2 linked regions of the Styela clava genome follow. The protein of the gene in region 2 binds, or shares a complex with, the protein of the main gene of each other region. Links are inferred from orthologs where the notes say so. Each region holds a gene or a part of one and is shown on either strand. Other genes may lie near its edges.

Evidence for each region.
Region 1: the proteins of translation initiation factor eIF2B subunit epsilon-like (region 2) and translation initiation factor eIF2B subunit gamma-like are in contact, whole or in part, in a cryo-EM structure (PDB 7VLK), measured with the Homo sapiens proteins. The link is inferred for Styela clava from reciprocal best matches to the Homo sapiens genes EIF2B5 and EIF2B3. Residues at the interface, in NP_003898.2 of Homo sapiens: Pro190, Val202, Arg222, Arg223, Phe224, Ala225, Phe226, Pro227, Leu228, Phe231, Gln232, Ser234, Ser235, Asp236, Gly237, Val238, Glu239, Val240, Arg241, Tyr242, Asp243; in NP_065098.1 of Homo sapiens: Arg155, Phe157, Glu178, Glu179, Leu180, Val181, Ile182, Lys183, Gly184, Leu187, Gln188, Pro191, Arg192, Ile193, Arg194, Phe195, His196, Thr197, Gly198.

What each region holds. Positions count from the first base shown.
Region 1 is NC_135259.1:11,791,565-11,795,322, reverse strand, and holds the start of translation initiation factor eIF2B subunit gamma-like, read right to left. Parts: upstream 2,527-3,758; 5' UTR 2,477-2,526; coding exon 2,317-2,476; intron 1,471-2,316; coding exon 1,319-1,470; intron 93-1,318; coding exon 1-92. UniProt on the Homo sapiens protein: Acts as a component of the translation initiation factor 2B (eIF2B) complex, which catalyzes the exchange of GDP for GTP on the eukaryotic initiation factor 2 (eIF2) complex gamma subunit.
Region 2 is NC_135263.1:12,251,187-12,254,944, forward strand, and holds the start of translation initiation factor eIF2B subunit epsilon-like, read right to left. Parts: upstream 2,788-3,758; 5' UTR 2,598-2,787; coding exon 2,472-2,597; intron 2,046-2,471; coding exon 1,900-2,045; intron 1,057-1,899; coding exon 892-1,056; intron 351-891; coding exon 167-350; intron 1-166. Other genes in the region: uncharacterized protein LOC120340882, read left to right, coding at 3,373-3,438, 3,593-3,723. UniProt on the Homo sapiens protein: Acts as a component of the translation initiation factor 2B (eIF2B) complex, which catalyzes the exchange of GDP for GTP on eukaryotic initiation factor 2 (eIF2) gamma subunit.

The DNA of each region.
Region 1 (3,758 bases), on a different chromosome or scaffold from region 2:
GTGATGGCAGTATTATGTAGTCGATGAACATCTGCTAATCGGTGAAGCTCAAAGTCACATAGTATATCACAACTCATCACAAGAAGATCACACTGAAAATATACATGTTTGATTTACTTTCATTCTCTACCTCATTTTAACATAGACAATACACTGAATTGATATAAACAAAAAATAAAGTATTGATAATATAGGATCATGACGTTTTACAGTTGATCAAGCAGACATAAGAAATTCAGGTTTTAAGATAGGATAGGAGTTTCATATTTATTTCAAGGCAGAGGAAAGACGATAAGATGGCTTAACCCTTTCCATGCGATTTTTATTTTTTATTAAATAATCGTATTTGCTACGCCGATTTTATGCATTTGTACCCCCACAACTAATCGATCGACTAACGAAAAACTAATGATCCTCTGCTGCCCACTGACGGCTCGTTGGAAAGCTTATTCAAAGAGCTTCCAATTGGCAATTAAAAAAAAAAGTTTTTTCAAAAGTGGTGGTCTGAGTCACAAACCGGATAGGAAAAAGGCATTTTTTTTTCTTGGGAGTTGAAACTTCAAACCGTGATAAAAAATAGAAATATTCGCTAAATCCTTTACTGTTACCGCTTCGTGGTTGGCAAACAACAGCATACTATTGCTGTAGCAATTTCGTGATCTAACTCAAAATACTTTGGTAGATAGAAGGGATAATATGTCTTCTATTACCACCCAAAAACACCGAAATTTGCATAAATTTCAAAAACACTCCCTCGTTCCGCCGCAAATAAAATTCCCGTCGTAAACGAAAGCGAGATTCACCGTCGCTTATGTTAATCTCGAAGAAGACTTCTTGTCAATAAACTAAAACCCGGAAAAACTAGACCAACAGTTTGCGACGGATTGCTAAATAAAACAGTGGAGTATATCAACATAACCCGCCGCAATCTAGCGACTTTTGTCGTGGGTACGTATACCTGCCCACCGCACGGAAAGGGTTAAACATATAGCAATACACAGTTTTTCGCCTGGTTCATGCCAGGTATGGGAATATTCATCTAGCTATTTGTCTCAGATACAATGACATGATGGTGGTGGTAGCTGTAACCCTACGGCGACGAGGAGTACAACCATCATCATGCACATAATTATCCCCCACAAGATTCGAACCTGTGAACTCTTTCAGTGTGTGTTTCTAACGCTTATTACTATGTGCCTACTGTACAGGCCTTGTCTGTATTTTGTATATAGATAAGCGGCTATTGTTCCAATATTCTTCATGAAAATATGTAAATAAAGTTCAAGTAGACAACAGACAGATAACCGTACATGAATACCTTTACTTTATCCTTGATATGTCTAAGAGAGTCTGTCGTTCCCCAGTCTAAATCTTCTGATATTCCCACAATATCAGCATTTATATTTTTCAGTGAAGATATTGCTTGCTTTACTGAATTTACTATTGAATTCATAGTAATAATTATGATTTCTGTAACAAGTGGAAAGGATAGATCTTAGTTAATAACACCTGAGACCCATTTGCTCTTTAAAAGTACAGTAATGACGGATGCTGACTTGAACTTCAAGTAAGAACCATTATGTAATATTTTTACTTATTTTTTTTTATAACTCGCGGTTCTGTATTAAATTTATATTGCATGCTTGACAGCCATTGATCAGGGCAAAAACACAGTAAAGTACAAACATTACTAGGTCTATTGTACTTTGGCAATTATAATATAGAAGAAAAAACATAAAAATGAAACTAAATTGCACAATATTTGATTTCATTTTATTACACATAAACTATGTGGATCAAAATTGCACAGCAAATGTATTTGGTTTGGAATTGCGAATGCGTTTCATAAGCACTAACAAGCGTTGCGAAGCAAATGTATCAAAATACTGGCAGTGCCAATTGAAAAAATTGCATGGAATTAAAGTGATTTAGGCCCATGTTCTATGAATAGGTGAAAATTCTGAAATCATTCAAACAGATTTACTGTAGTTCATTATAATTTTATTTAATTATGGCATGGGACATATTTGCCACATAAGAGTTGAATAAGGAATGTGTGAGAGTGAGACATAGCAGTTCGGAACTCGGATATCTTAAATTATACAAAGTCATTAAACGTCAAAACCTTAACAACAGAATTGTTTTAATGGGTGATGTAACGTATCGAAAACACCATCAAACTGGCCATTACAAAATCATGTCAATAAAATTTAATCGTATCGAGTTTAATACATATCTCCAACTTGACCATAAATTTGCCTAATAAAACAGCTGGTGAAACAGCTAATCTGCTGTCTATATGTAATTTGTACTTACCTCTGAAACCAACTCTTTCCAGTGTATTAACTGCATACCAGATCAGAGGTTTATTCCCAATAGGTAGAAGAGGTTTTGGAATGCTGGACGTTAAATCACTCATTTGATCACCCCTGCCTCCAGCCATGATAACAGCTTGAAATTCCATATTTTTTACCATATATAAGTTTATCAGTGCTATTCTAGTTTCTGATTAAATGAAATTATAAGTATTAATTGCATAATTTAACATATATTATTAAATAAATTAAATCCAATCCAATGATGATTAATATAATATAAAAATAGCCTTGATTGAAAATAATCTAATGTTTATATTAGGCACAAATTTTTTATAGAAGTTTACCAAATGTATTCACAAATGCCCACTAAAGGACCTGAGATATTAGCAAATAGCGATTTCCCATTACTTAAAACACTTCAAGTGAATACTGTCTGGAAAAACAGCATTTACTGTACAGCCTACAAAGCAGCTAAAAAAATAGACAGTGTGAAGATTCTACCTGCTTAACAAATTCAGTTTTCTCATTATACAGTAATTCTTTTATTATAGCCAGGTAGTACCATAAGCCTGCATCTGTGCTTTTCAATGGACATGCTTAATTATGTATGTGGAGAGATGTCTAACTTATATTGAAAACAAAATACTACTACAACACTGTTCAATCATGAGAAGTTTATAAGCGGTAAATTATAATTAAACATAAAACGAGAATATCGGTCAGAGGACGAAGACTTGTCGATCAAAAGTTAGGGGATCCCAAAACAGCGCTCTCACTCCATAGTGACACCTTGTGTCCCATCACTAATTAATTGATAACTTGCTAATTATACGACATAATTCGCCCAAAATCAATAAGCTTCTGGTACGAGATATGATGAATGCACATGCAAAATCTGCAGCAGATCCAATCTCGCTTTCGTGAGATATCGCGTGCATCTAACAGACAGACAGACAAATACCTATCAATATACTTACCGATTAAAATGGATAAGTAATAAAGCGGAAAACTAGGTAAGGCACGGAGAAGATTGAAAACAGGTGTATTAACATAGTAATTAGTATACAATAGTAACAATAGTAATTAATTTTGCTTGTTATGGAACAACTTTAACAAAAACACCAATTATTTCATCATCTTTGTTGAGCGCTGCAAACGAATTTTCCTACTCATGTAAACCTTATGTCAAAGCAAAATAAGAATTCAAATCTTCGTCAATATTACTGAGGCATATATCGGAGCATAACACGACTTTAAAAGTTTCAGTACATTGGGATAGTCATCAGCAGTGAAAAGTCTATATGTGAATTTGGGCATTCTATATCCCAATATTAGGTAACTATTATGTACTATAATATTGGAACAAAATTTCTATCGGTCAAAGTGAAAATTACAATTCAAATGAAATAAAGGAGAGCATAGTTGGCTGTCAAGTTAATC
Region 2 (3,758 bases):
GTTCACTCACAGTAAGGCAAATTGGTAACCAGAACAAAAGATTGGATGTGCTTTAATAACGAGGATATTTGATAATAATAATAATGGAGATTCAACAAATGGCACAAGAATAAAACTGTGTCTATTCATTAAAATTATTCGGAATGCTAAACGTATGTGGCCTTACCAATGGGAACTCAAATTTAGGTTTCCTTGTTAAACCGATTTTTTGATAATAAAGAACTTGTTGAGTATGAGAATCGAGAGCAACAACGATGTCATCATCTGCTGATCTCATCTCATGAGTGGGAGGACAACTACGCAAAATTAGTGTCATCAACGGCTTATTTTTATCTTTCGTCCTTCTATCCCTGAAAGCAAAATATAAACAGTGAAAAGGGTTATATTTGCCTGTTGAAAGATAGGATTTTCATATTTATTCTAGAGAAGAAAGGCGATAAGATATATATATATATATATGGCGAACCACAGCCTTTCATCCGGTTCCCAGTGCATGCTGTGTATTTTGTGCTATTTTTTTTTATAGATGACTTTATGGTGGAGAAATTTGTAACAGGTTTCGGTTACTTGAACCTCCCTATGAAAGCAAGGAGACCAGAATTCCTCTTGCACATTTATTGAATTAAATACAAGTTACTCATTATTAGGAAGACTGAGAAGACACTGCTGTTATTATCTCAATTGCCAAACAATAATGAGGCAATATTAATATTAATTTGTACACACTATTCTAAGCTAAGTCAATTATACAGCAGTATTGAACAAATGAAGTTTATTCAAAAATATGTGTTTAATCTTTCATCATTTCATCAGCTTTTAAACAATTGTCTGTGACTACGTACACAATTAGCATAGCCTACTTTATTGACGAGATATTTCGCAAATACCAACCGATGTTCTGTTAAAGCTTGCTGAAGAGACATATTCGATATCAGATCTCCTGCTACAAGAAGAAAATCTGTTTCAAACAACGATTTTTGATCGATGTCTCTCAATACATCACCCAATGATGTAAAATCTGATGACACAATAGGAGTGACTCGGCATTGAGAGGATCTGGAATAAAATTTGTCAATGATTAGTAATTTCGAACAAAAATTCCACAATTTTGCTCTAAACAAGGCGTTAGAGAACCATCCACTAATGTGCAGGAAGCTACTAACTTGAAAATTAAATTTATTGGAAAAAGGTATTCTAAAGACATATTTGTCATACTTGGTAGATAATTTCTTAACTATGTCAAAGATTTTTGATAAGCCATATTTGGATATAAATATATAAATGCAATCTAATGGTAAAAAATAAATATATTGAATTATTTGAAAAAGGTATTGTTTATTTCATTACCGGTATATAGTTTATTTAAAATATGCAAGCTTCTTATAATTCAAAAGAAACGCCATGCTTCAGCTCAATTGTAAGACAACATATGTTTGAATAAAAAATAGATCAAACAATAAACAAAGAATAAAATACAAATATGCACCGCTGGTGTTTAGGAAAATTTCAAGAAAAAATTCCTCCCTCTGGAAGTTTCAGATGGAAAATTTTCTTCGTGAAATATGTAGACAAAATTAAAATCTTATCTAAAGCTCCAGTGTGCGATCTTTTTTCAATAGATTCTTTGTATTGTGTTATATTTTTTAGACTTGTTCAAAATTTTCTGGGTTAAAGTTTTGTGGATGGAACTCTCCTAGTAGTAATGCTCATATATTTTATTCCATATTTTTTCATTTGATCTATTGTACGAATTTGGTGAAACTGTAATGAATTGGCATATTCAATAAATAATATTGATAAGCTATCATGTGATTTGAATACTGATACTGCAATGGCATTGTATAATAATAGACATTTGATCATCACACATAATGGAGATGAATTCTTTGCTTTTCTTACTTGGCTCCCCATTTGCTGTTTGCAATATAATCCTTTATCAGACCAGAGCAATGACAGCAGTAAACATAGATCTGTTGAACTCCATTTGATGACAGAAAATCTAGCGTGTAATCCAACAATGGTTTGTTTGCTAAGGGGAACAATGCCTAAAATAGAAAAGGATAATTTAGGGGCCTAAATGTTTAAACACTTGTGAGAAATGATTATGCTCATCCTGATAATCGTTTACACAAATTTCGCTATAATGAATCTACAAAATCTCAGAATATTTGAACACCTGATGACCCATTCCATTTTTTGAGTCAAGCCTCAAATCAGTGAGAAAAACCTCTCGTGTCACGTCTACATCGAGTACCTCATATTCTAATTTTTCATTAGTAAATACCATTATTCAAAACGAACGCAAAATTGTGACTCGTAAAAACATTTTTAATTGAACTCGAGATGTGTTGTCTTCATAAGTTATATTATATCTGTATATGTAATTGTTGGCTATACATATTTCAGTTTTTATAAGTGGTAAATTTGCAGTTTCAATTAAGTAATCATACTGGCGACCACTCACTACTCACCAAAGGAATGTCATCAGAAAGAGGTTGAAATTTTTCATCGAATCTGTCTGCTACAACAACAGCTTGTAAAACATTCTCTTGTTCAAAAGTTCCACCTTGAGGCTTGCCTTTCTTTGTTGAAGGCATCGCTTAGTCGTATATAAGTACTACAGCCAGGTTTTATACAACAATCTACGATAATGGCCAGTCATCAGAACACCACGAGAACTGACCGAGGAAGGACTGGCCTGACGCAACAGCAATCGCAGAATCGAATGAGCAAGAGCAAAAAGTAACCACGCCACTAGGCACTAATACCGCCTGACGCACAAAATTACTAGCATTTCTCAGTAACACTCAATCCAGAGCCATTATATAATGGCTCTGCTCAATCAATCAATTGTCGATTTGAAATGTGTGTGAAAGCATGTTATAGCCGAGAAAATACAACTAAACATTTTAATTCAGTATATCTAACTCGGGAATGGAAAAAGACTCGTAGTTAAATATACTGGTAAATTTTACAACAGCATGATTGAAAGCTAATAGAAATATAGTGGGCTTAGTTGTGATTATGACGAGTCGGTGGACAGTGAGTACCTAATCAGCATATTATCACAAAAAAATGTATATTGTACAAATGAAATCAGAATGAAAGAGTACATAAAAGGCCTAGTTATGGAAACTGTTTCCAAATAACTATACCTAATATTTTATATTAATAGCCACTGAATAAATTGTAATAGTATTCTCGCAGTCGGTGCATACGGGGTTTCACTGACTAACGCGTAGACACAGAGAAAGTACAGTATCAGCAATTAGGAACAGTTGCTTGACAATATTATAAATCATGTGTGATGTCATAATGCACAATAGACAAACTTATTCCCAAGAAACGCAAATAATTACTAGGTTAACAGAAATGATGGAAGAGAGAAACGTCGAAGAAAATCCGCGGGAGTTCGGAGACGTTATTTCAAAAATAAAGGTTGGTCATGCATTTCACCAACATAAGATATTTAATGCTACGGAGAATGATCATCTCGATAGAAATCTAAGCAAGTTATAAGCTGAGTTATGCAATTATTTAATTTTCAAATATTTTTGAGTTTTTCACCTAGGCCATAATCTACCCTTTTCAGAAAGTTCACGGAATTCTTGATCGCGTGGGGTTGAATTTGACGAATATCAAAAGCAAAGTACGTCACCATCAAAGAAGTCAATCTTGTGGAGTCGGTAAACTTGAAAATCACACGGATAAAGAGAAAGACAGGTAAGGAGGCGAATAAATCAAAATCATCATCCAGT